Nothobranchius furzeri: one gene and its partners. The protein of the gene in region 2 interacts with the protein of the main gene of each other region in a pairwise test. Links are inferred from orthologs where the notes say so. Each region holds a gene or a part of one and is shown on either strand. Other genes may lie near its edges. The genes, in order: keratin, type I cytoskeletal 50 kDa; ccnc; meox2a.

Region 1 (3,753 bases), on a different chromosome or scaffold from region 2:
GCAGTTCAGACCAGCCAACTCAGAACCCCGGAATAGTCCAGCTCACCTGCAACTGGTACTGGGCGAGGCGTGCGGCGTAACGGTTTTGCACATCGCTGAGTGAAACTTCTAGAGACGCTTTCTGTGAGGAGACCACAGAGTCAGAACATGAACCAAACCCCTTTCAGACCGCTTATCCTCCACAACTGTCTCTCACCATGCTGAGCTGAGACTGAAGCTCGATTTCCAGAGCCTGAAGCTGGCTCTTCACTTCCTTCACCTCGGTTGTTGAAGTCTTCAGAGTCATTTCTGTGGTGGCGACCTCCTTGGTGAGAGCCTCTGACTGAAGGGATGAGAAATTGACATCAACCTGAAGCTCTGCAGGTTTTGTCTCATGATTCCTCTTGCCCAGGTCCTACCTTGGCCTGGAACCAGCCCTCAAGCTCTTTGCGACTTTTGGCAGCGACGGCTTCGTAGTGTTCTCTGATCTCCTCCATGACCTTTGTGAGATCTTCCTGGGGAGCAGCGTCTACTTCTACGTTCACTGTTCCGCTCACCTGGGTGCGCATGGATGCCAGATCCTAGGGGGGTGGGGGGGGACTGATGATGGTATTCACACCAAAACCAACAACCGGTGTCCACTAGGGTCTAGGTACCTCCTCATGGTTCCTCTTCATAGATTCTAGCTCATCCTTCAGACTCTCGATCTGCATGCTTAAGTCTGTCTTTGCCATGCTAACTTCTCCCATCAGCATCTTCAGCCCGGCAATATCAGCCTCCACCGACTGACGCATGGCCAACTCGTTCTCATACCTGCACAGAGTTCAGAACCAAGGATCACAACCAGAGTTAATTACATCAGAGGAACAAACACTGGGACACAATAACAATCAGTTTCTGAAAAACATAAAACAAATTCTTTTTCTCCAGAATCCCTTTGTGGCTCTTAAGTAATTTAATTACTTATAAAAGATCTAAAGCTTTACTAAAAGGGGAAAATCTTTAAAAATTTTCAGAATAAATTGATAAAATAAGTGTTTTTTCTTTCCTACATGTTAAAGGACTTTAAAATTTTAGCAAAAATAAAATTTGGGACTGCTGGAATAAATCCTGAAATCAAATTGCTGAGTGCAGCCAGCAGAGGGCGTGCTGCTGCTTCTGACCTCCAGTGGAAGAGCTCCTGTTATAATTCTACCAATAATTAAATATTTCAAACATAAAGTTGATTCTTTAGAATAAACAGACTAAAAAAGAGAGAAAAAAACAAACAAACAAACATGTCAGGAGTGATCAAGTGACTGACTTGATTCTGAAGTCGTCCTGAGCCAGTTTGGCGTTGTCGATGCTCAGCAGGACGGTTCCTTTGGCGATGATGGCATCCTGGATCTGAAATCAGTGACATGTTGTTACTAAAAGTAAACAACCATTACATGAATTAGAAGCAATGAATAGAAACATAATGTGGATGATGAGGAGGAAAGAAACACCCCAGAGAAGCTGATTGTGAGATGAGAATGTTTAAGTGTCATCGTGTTTTGGGTGTGGCAGCTTCGCCTGGATCGCTTACACAGGTCATTCACCTGAGAGTGATGTCCAGTCACTGGCAGCCCAGAGTCATTTCTCACAGCCTCAAATTACTGAACAGATTTCTGCTTTGTTGTTAGTGCTTTGTGTGGAAGACAAGCTGCTGCAGTTCAAACCGTTTTTGTTTTTAAAACTAAAAGTTTGTGGGAAAGTAACACAAAATCAGTTCAGATTAAAGCTCCACATTCTGGACTTCTTATGGAATTTGTGTACAGATTGAAACCAGAGTCTGGTCCCTTATCCTTACCTTGCCCTGAAGTTCTGCAATAATGATGTAGAAGGCGCTGTAGTCCCGGGCCGAGGGGCTGATCTTGGACTCCGCAAACTCTTTGATCTTCAGCTCCAGCTGGGCATTGGCTTTCTCCAGCGCCGCCACCTTACTCAGATAGGATGCCAGGCGGTCGTTCAGGTTCTGCATGGTGAACTTCTCATTGCCGATTAAGCTGTCATCCCCTCCAGCTCCACCACCAAAGCCACCTCCAAAACCTGCACCTGCTCCTCCACCAAAGCCTGCACCTGCACCACCACCAAAGCCTGCACCTGCACCACCACCAAAACCTGCACCAGCTCCTCCACCAAAGCCAAAACCTCCACCTCCAGCAGAGAAGCTTCGGCTGGCCTGGGAGACCCTCACACCACCGCCTCCTGCCCCTCCGGCCACACTGAATGAGCTCATGCCTCGGCCAGATCCAAAGGATGCTCTGCCCAGACCGCCGCCCAGTCCGGAGCTCCGGGAGGAGGAGGAGGAAGAGTACATCATGGTCGTCATGATGAAGCAGAAGGAGAGGTGCTTGCTTGTCTGTCTTCTCGGGAGCAAGAGAGGAGAGAAGTGAGGAAAAGAGGAGCGGATTGCTGCTTTTAAAGATCTCCAGGTGGCAGGGCTACAGGTGAGGGGGCAGGGCTAAGATCCACACCCACAGAGAAGGAACGTGAGAAGGTTGATTCTGTTTCTGCTCTTCACCAGTTTATTGGTGTTTTTATGACATTTAAGACAGTAATTTTTTAATTGTGCCATTTAAAAATATTTTCCTGATTACTAAGCTAACAGTGGAACAGGCTGACAACCCGCAGCTGGAGAACCCAGAGGGGATCAGAACATTTTACCTTTAGGAGGAGCTGAACTGGAAGGGTTCTGATCTGACAGCATGTTCGGAGTTGACTCTTGTTTTCTAGAGTTTTTAATCAAACTGTGATGTCTGACCTTTAGAAGCACCAAACCCCGAGAGAGAGATGCGCTAGGTCTTGCACAGCTGCTGAAATGCATCAAGAACCCTTGAAGGAACAGACCCCTGAGTGCAGATCTCAGTTTGATCCATTGAAACTCCACCTCAGAACTTTCAGGACTTAAAGGATCTGCTGTTGCTGGAGCCAGAATCCCATCAGAACTTCAGAATTCCAGTGGAGTCCAGGAGAAGATGGGTCAGAACTGACCTGCTTGATGGTGGCCATAGTGTTATGGCAGGGCGGTATGTGTATTAAATTGAAATGACTCGATGCAGGGCTCACCTGCAGCTAATAATCAGAAGCCGTGATTAACGACCAGAACTTGTGAATACCTGCAGCTTTGCTGGCCTGGCTGCGACCCGGATGATGTAACTTTGGTATTGTCTTGCTGCCGGCGTTAAACCTTTTCTCAGCACAAAGAGCTCTCAGTGAGATGCTTCAGGATCTGAAACAGCCTCCGGCCCCAAGCACTCACCTGTCACTTCACAATGTCCCCACTCAGGCATTTGCTATGGGAAAATGCCCCTGGCTGCTGTTGCCATAGTGATGAACCTCAAAGTGTTTCACAGAGAAACAAGCCTGTAGAATATACTGGGGGGACAAGTGTGCCCAGGTGTGTGCTGGTGTGAAGCAACAGAAAGCTTCTTTAATCCTCTGTTTGTTTAAGAGAAAGAAAAAATTTTCTAATTGAAGCTTCGAGGATGCAGATTTCCAACAGAGCCACACCCAAATGCACAACTAAGATTCTGGCTCCTGGGGTGAATGGTTGCTCATTGATCGTTTGTGGTGACTCAGACCCAGACACTAACCCTGATCCTGACTGTGGCCTTCACAACAACCAGGACCCTGATCTTAATGCAGACTCTGACCCTGCCTGACACTTACATAGATGCTGAACCTGATTCAAATCCTCATAACTCTGATCCTGACCTTTATTGGTAAATGTCCTGCACTTGTTTATGTTTA
Region 2 (3,753 bases):
TGGTATTTGTAAAATAAAACACTATATTGTATTCATGATGTTGAACTCCTCTTTGAGCACATCCCTTGAAGGATCATAGGTATTAGCAACACCTGTGAAATTGTATTTGCAGGAAAGAAGTGTGTCCCGTTTATTGAAGTATTTTGTGTTTAGAGTTTTTGACGTCTTGTCCATGCGTAGTTCAGTTACGCTCATAGCTGCTAGCCAAAACTCTGGAGTTAAAAGTTTTCTGGCTTTACTAAAATACCTGTCTGTACTTATTTGATTGATGGTAGTTTTACTTTCTATTAGACTCCAAATGTAATCATTTGGCACGTTTCTAATTCATAATTTGTAAGCATGTAATCGGTGATATTAGCATTAGCATTCCTATGGGTTTTTCCATGTATATTAGCATTGCGCTAACCACTCGCTGCCAAATTGCAGCCTTTGAGATTAGAAAATCTCCTTTTGTCACATCGCAATTTAATTGCACATGCAGTTAATCGTTCAGCCCTAATATACATGCAGCTCTATGCTAAAAGTGTATTTTCATAGAGGTAATGATGGATTTCTTTGTAAAAGTTGTCCATCTTTCCAACAGAAAGATTTACCTGGACCAACGTAACGTGATAACAACGTAACGTGATTACGTAATTGCTTAAGGTTCATGTTCAGCCAATCAACTACTTAGACGTCATCGGCAGTCGACGGACCCCGAGCCGATCCTGTACCGACACCACCCTTTTCTAGTTTGCATTTTCATAGCTTGCAACAGCACAAAAACTTGACATTATAAGTTGATTAAAGAGTAAATCAAAGCTGAATGATAAGAATTAACCTGTATGTTTAAGTGGGAGGATTGGAATTATTTCAGGTTTATGTGTTGATTCTAGTGTTGTCAAAAAAATCGATACCTAGATATAAACGATGCTAAAAGTGGTATCTAAATGAGATATTCCATCCCTGTGGTATCGATATTATGGACTATTATACACAGCCTTCTTCAAGTACACCGACACGCACGACAGCCAGATGCCGTAAAGCAGCCTCCGCCTCCCAGACAAACAGAAGAAGAAGGCGCCGCATGGCTACATTGCAATTTCCCACGCGAGTTGTCTCCGATCCAAGTTTTGTCTGCCAAATAAATAAACAAAAACATAAACAGTGAATTTGGGAGGCGCTTCACAGCCCAACTTAATTAGCATACCAAGTCCGCCACGTAGTTGTATATTCACGCTTATGTGCTTAAAGGAAACTCCCGTTTATTGCAACCCGGACTTAATTTCTAGCATGCAGTACGTTTGTTTACTCACGCCGACAACTTTGGTGCTACTTGGATTCCCCGGGGTATTTACCGTAGATCCATCGCCGAATCGCCGTCAGTGTATATCCATATAACGGGTGCGGACGGGCACCCATGGTGCAGCCTCGAAATAAGACATTATCTGCACCAAAACATCTTCATGTCGAAAGGTTTTGTTAGGAATCATTAACGTGATTCCCCTGTTCGTTTGGAGCGGGTCTGGGATTTCTAGGCGTAAACAGACTAGCCGCGGCTAATCTAACCAGCGCTTTTAATGACGTCACTGCCGTGCGCCAGTCTGTTTTTATTAAGATTACCGGTGGATGTACCTTTGTCCTACTGTGGAGAAATTCGTTTTCTCCCTTTATTGACCAACAGAGTTGTTCAAAAGTACAGAACAAAACATATGACGTTACATCTTATGACAAAAATGCACCTTAAACAGAGTTTAAGCAGCAAAACATCACTCTGCAAATAGTGTATATATAGTGAGACAATTCATGATTTAAAGTGTTAACTTTCGCCAGTTTTTGTATGCACGTTTAAAAAAAATGCTGATACTTGAAAGGTTTAAGCACGTTACACACTTAATTCTTAACATTTAATTTCTGCAATATAAATGGAGGAATGTTATTTTTTGAATAAACTTGTTCAATAAATTGGTGTTTTTAAATAGTATCGAAATCGAGTATCGAGTCCCCCCCCCGTATCGAATCGAGTTTGAAATTTTAATATCGTGACAATCCGAGTTGATTCTGTAAGTAAAATAAAACACCGCGAGTTAAAAAGACACTAAGGTTTTTAAAGAGCCTGAGCTGGTGATGGCATCAACATTGATCTCCATCATTACCTGAGACAGCTTCTCACCTGGCATAGAAGCGTTTAAAGTAGACTGTTGCTGTGGCGATGACCTGCTGTCTCAGCTTCAGGTGCTCACCTAAAGCCTGGATCACTGGAAAAAAAAAACATAGAAACGTGATATGTTCAAGGGAAATGCACTAACTGTATCTACAGCTACACATAAACGAGCTTCTGAAGTAAACACGTTATTACAGGTGATTTTAAAAGTTACCATTTGCAAAGAAAATCTGCAGCTTCCAGTACTCCTCTTCTGTGAGGAATTTCAGGTCCTTCTGGCGCTCTTTCATTAGGTCTTGTTTATCCAGAACCCACTGAAGGCTAAATAAAAAATAAGACATAAACCAAACGCGAACAACACAACAGAAAGAGGCACGATACGAATGGTCAAACAATTAAAAAGGAACTTCCATCTTTGTAAAAAACTGGTACTTTTAATTTATCTGTCTATTGCATCTATTCAATAAATTAAAACTTACGGTGGGAATAAACTAAAGTGTTAGCTCGAACAGTCGCAACAAGCAAGGCCTCACAACAAAAGCGATGAATTAAAACATTTGGACGTAACAGGTCTGATAATTATGGCAACTTACTAATGTGAACTCTGCCAAAAGTTCCCCGCCATGTCGTTTCGGTTTGAAGACGGAAAAAATAATTGTATTTAATGTTTTAACCTACAAAACCAGCGAATACAAAAGAAAAGTAGTTTTGCTAGCAAACGCTGGTGTAACACCAAAGACCTACCGGGTAGCTTAGAAATATGGTTCCGGGGTTGCAGTCGCGCTGGTTTCCCTTTATTTATTTATTTATTTATTTATTTATTTATTTATTTATTTATAAACGTGGAATTAAATAATTTGTTAAAAAAATAATAAAATAAAAGAAAAGAAAGAAAGAGAAAAGAAAACATGGCTTATAATTGTGTAAGTCAACAACAACAATAATAAAAACAATACTAACATGAAAACATTGTATAAATGTATAATTACACAACAGAACGTGTCACTAAACATGTAAAGCGCTTGGGCTTCCTGACAGGGTTGCGGAAGGCGCTTTATAAATAAAGCTTTGATTGATTGATTGATTGATTGATTGATTAAAAAACAAGCTGAAAACTTTAAAATATTATTTGTGTACAAAATATGTTTTTTTCTAACGTAGGATATGCGTTTAATCAGCCATTCCTTTTCAACAGCAGTTATTGCTTGTGGTATAATTTAGCTGCAGTAATATAACTAGATTCATATTTGTTTTGATTGCATAAGACTAAACATTCTCAAATTAAACCTTTAAGAGGTCAGCAGAGTAATTTACCCTGAGTGTATTATTTTTTTCTACAGTCTATAAGCTGCATTAATCATGACCTCGACAGATGTTTGTGGGGACTTCGCCCTCTGGAATGGGAGGGTCCAGCATTCCTCTGTGGTGGTGAGGGAATAGGTGAGAAGAGTATGAAAATCCTCCACCATACAACAACTGAGTGAGCGTTCTTCACTCCTCAGCAGAACTTAAATCAGTTAAAACGCCATCAAGATGAGCCAAAGTCCAGAGAGGACGTCTTCCTATCGCTGTCATTTCGAAGGCCACAAGGGTCCGTCTCCTGCAAGCCA
Region 3 (3,452 bases), on a different chromosome or scaffold from region 2:
GCCCTGCCCCAGGGCCAAGGTGAATATAACATGCACCCACATCACCAGCTTTCCACACTCTGAAATGTTTAATTTATATCAGCCGGAACATTCTGGAACATGCATTCATCACCCTGGATCCACACAGACAGATGGCCGCATAAATGGAGAAAAGCCACTCATAAGGATTTACATTTTCCACTGGTTTCAGTTTTATTCAATTTGCAACTCTCTCCAAAAGATTTTATTTTAAATTTATGCTTCAGGTTATAAATCTTTTTACAAAAATCATCTCCGGGCACAAACGTGTCAGCTGAGCTGTCAGTGTTTATTACTTCATGAACTGAACAGTCTTGGTTTAGTATAACTATTAACACAAAACTGAGATTTATTTACATATCATTCATATTTTCAAGGCAAATTAGATTTCCTGGCACCTAAATGAATTAATAACTCAATTAATTGGTGAATTTCCTTTACAGTAGACACTAAGGTGCAAACTGTAAGTTCAGCAGTGCAAAACAAAGCTTTAGCCTGCTTCTCCAAACACACATGGAATGTTAACGGTTTAACTAAGTATGGTGTTCAACATGTTTTTATCAGAAGTGAGAAATCACTTCTGTGCAGTAATAATTCACTCTTCTTTGACATGTTCTCGTTTTAACTACATGGTGATTCTATTTTCAGCACTTTGTTTCTCTGTATTTGTACACTTATTTAGCGTCGTTGTAAGACGATGGCGAATCACCAGACAGCAGTCCTACAGATGGTTGTGAGGCAGAGGCTGGGCCCACAGTCCAGACAGAGCTGGGACCATTGTGTATGTGTGTGCATCATAAATGAGCGTGCTCAGAGCTTTGATCGCTGTCATGACTGTCCCCGTTGGCTAAGGAGTCCGTTGAATGGTGGAGCGCTGCAATGCCAGAGAACTCTGAAGGTAATAATGTCCCCTTTTTGACATTCACCAACTCTTTCTCTCGAGCTGCGACTCCCTGCTGGCCACCTTTCACTCGTTTCCACTTCATCCTCCGGTTCTGGAACCACACCTTTACCTGTGAGGGGAAACAGACAGAAATGTCAACATTCTGTGTCTTGGCGGTTTGTATGAATTTGGATTGTGTGATCACTGAGCAGAGGTTTTGCAGCAGTCAGATCGCAATGTGGAGAAGCAGAAAGGAATTGGGGAAGTCAAGGTGACAGCTAAACCTTGAAATGACTCATTCCAGAGAGATTTTAAGCTTCAAACTCTACATGTTCTGTCTAGATGATTGCACAAACTCTGGCAATTACATCCTGGTGCAAAACAGCCTTCAAACAACAGCTTTAGTAAAAGTGAAACAATACGAATTTTTTGTAAACCTACAAAAAATCTGAATAAATTCATCCATCCATCTGATAAATCAATTAAGAGGAGTTGATTTTTATGAAACTGCTTCACACTTGGCTGCAACTGCTCCAGGGAGAGATGAGATCATGGTACGATGAAGCCAACAAGACCACATGCAAAAAGCAGAGATCCTCTGAGCACATTTGCACCTAAAAGTCTTGTCCATAAAAGCTATGAACAGAATTGGTGTGAAAGGGCAGCCTCGGTGGAGTCTAAATCCCACTGAAATTGAGTCTGACCGATCGCACAGGGACCTAATAGCTCGTATCAAGGGGTCTGGTACTCCATACTGCTGGAGTATCCCCTACAAGATTCCCATAGGGACACATTTAATTGCCTTCTCCATATCCACAAAACACACCAGACTGGTTGGGCAAACTCCCACGCACCCTCCAGGACCCCCTAAGGGTATAGAGCTCGTCCAGTGTTCCACACCCAGGACGAAAACCACATTGCTCCTCCTGAATCTGAGGTTCAATAATCCGATGGACCCTCATCTGCTCCCCAAAACCCCCGAATAGACCTTGCCAAGGAGGCTCAGGAATGTGATCCCCCTTTGGCTTTTTTTTTAATGGGGGACCACCACCACGGTCTGCTAATCCAACGAACCTTCTCCGATGTCCATGTAATGTTGCAGAGTTGCGTCAAACAACTCAGCTCCACAACATCCACAGCCCTAAGGATCTGGTTGGATCTCATCTACCCATGAGGCCCTGCCACTGAGGAACTTTTTGGCCACCTCAGTGACCTCGTATCCAGAGACTGGAGAGCTCTACCCAGAGTCCCCAGACTCCATTTCCTCACTGGAAGAATTGAGGAGGCCTTTGAAGTACTCTGCTCACCAGTCCACATTGTTGCAAGTCAAGGTCAGCAGTGTACTATCTAACCATAAAAAGTATGGGCCATGCTTTGCTTCTCCTTCCTGACACACTGAATGGTGAACCAGAATGGCCTCGAAGCCTTGCAGAAGTCTTGTTTTCCTGAATGGAATTCATTCCACTTGGACTGCTAGCACCTGTCAGCTGCCTTTGAAGTCCCACAGGCCAGAAAGACCCAATAGGACTCTTTCAGCTTGACAGCATCCATCACCATCAGTGTCCACCAGTGGGTTGGAAGGTTACCACTGTGACAGGCACAGGCAACCTTGCAGTCACAGCTCTAGCCAGTCTCTACAATGGAGGCACACAACATGGCCCACTTGATTTCAGTCTCCCCTGCCTCCCCTGGAACTTTGTCAGAGGTGGGAATTGAAGCTCCTTCTGGCAGGAGACTCCAACACAGGATGTCAGCAGACCCTCACATTACATTTGAGCCTGCCAAGTCCTCCCCCACCACCAAAGCCCACTCACCACAAGGTAGAGGTGAGTTGACAGCTCTGTCCCTCTCTTCATCTGAGTGTCCAAAATATGTGGCCACAGATCAGAAGAGACTACAACAAAGTTGATCACTGAGCTGCAGCCTAAGGAATCCTGATGCAAGAAAACATATGGATGGACTGGAACATTTATTCAGCCTGTGAATATCGCTATACGGGTGATGTGGGGGTGGGTGGCACCAGCCTGGAGCAGACCGGCTGTTCTGTGATTCTCCAGGGCCCCCATATGGCCAGTCCACCAATGAAAATAATCATCCTTATGCTTGAACATTGAGATCCACATCAAGGAAGCCAGTTTCTGTAGCCAAGGATCAGACCACCAAGGTCCTTGCCTCAGCTCAGTGGCCCAGTAGTAGAGTGTCCTCCCTAAGACTGGGAGATCAGGGTTCAATTCCTGGTCGGGTCATACTAAAGACCTTGAAAAAATGGGACCCAATGCCTCACTGCTTGGCACTCAGCATTTAAGCGTTGGATTGGGGGGTTAAACCACCAACTGGTTCCCAAGCACAGCTGTGTCTGCAGCTCACCGCTTCCCCAGGGGATGGGTCAAATGCGGAGAACAAATTTTGCACACATATCAGTGTGTGTGTGACAACTAATGGGACTTTAACTTAACTTGACTTTAACTTTAACTTTGGCCACTGCCCGTCTCACACAGCACCTAAAACCTTTGTCCCCTTTCCACTTATTGAAGGGGGACACACATCTCCA

Evidence for each region.
Region 1: the proteins of ccnc (region 2) and keratin, type I cytoskeletal 50 kDa interact in a two-hybrid assay, tested with the Homo sapiens proteins (2 studies listed by BioGRID and IntAct). The two-hybrid records come from large-scale screens. The link is inferred for Nothobranchius furzeri from reciprocal best matches to the Homo sapiens genes CCNC and KRT13.
Region 3: the proteins of ccnc (region 2) and meox2a interact in binary tests that used the Homo sapiens proteins (3 or more experiments, as listed by UniProt). The two-hybrid records come from large-scale screens. The link is inferred for Nothobranchius furzeri from reciprocal best matches to the Homo sapiens genes CCNC and MEOX2.

Annotation. Positions count from the first base shown.
Region 1 is NC_091745.1:30,568,506-30,572,258, forward strand, and holds the start of keratin, type I cytoskeletal 50 kDa, read right to left. Parts: upstream 2,476-3,753; 5' UTR 2,333-2,475; coding exon 1,811-2,332; intron 1,366-1,810; coding exon 1,283-1,365; intron 793-1,282; coding exon 636-792; intron 561-635; coding exon 399-560; intron 323-398; coding exon 197-322; intron 122-196; coding exon 47-121; intron 1-46.
Region 2 is NC_091742.1:26,778,649-26,782,401, reverse strand, and holds the start of ccnc (cyclin-C), read right to left. Parts: upstream 2,886-3,753; 5' UTR 2,769-2,885; coding exon 2,737-2,768; intron 2,465-2,736; coding exon 2,358-2,464; intron 2,238-2,357; coding exon 2,153-2,237; intron 1-2,152. UniProt on the Homo sapiens protein: Component of the Mediator complex, a coactivator involved in regulated gene transcription of nearly all RNA polymerase II-dependent genes.
Region 3 is NC_091745.1:64,680,824-64,684,275, forward strand, and holds part of meox2a (homeobox protein MOX-2), read right to left. Parts: intron 1,032-3,452; coding exon 813-1,031; 3' UTR 1-812. UniProt on the Homo sapiens protein: Mesodermal transcription factor that plays a key role in somitogenesis and somitogenesis and limb muscle differentiation. Required during limb development for normal appendicular muscle formation and for the normal regulation of myogenic genes.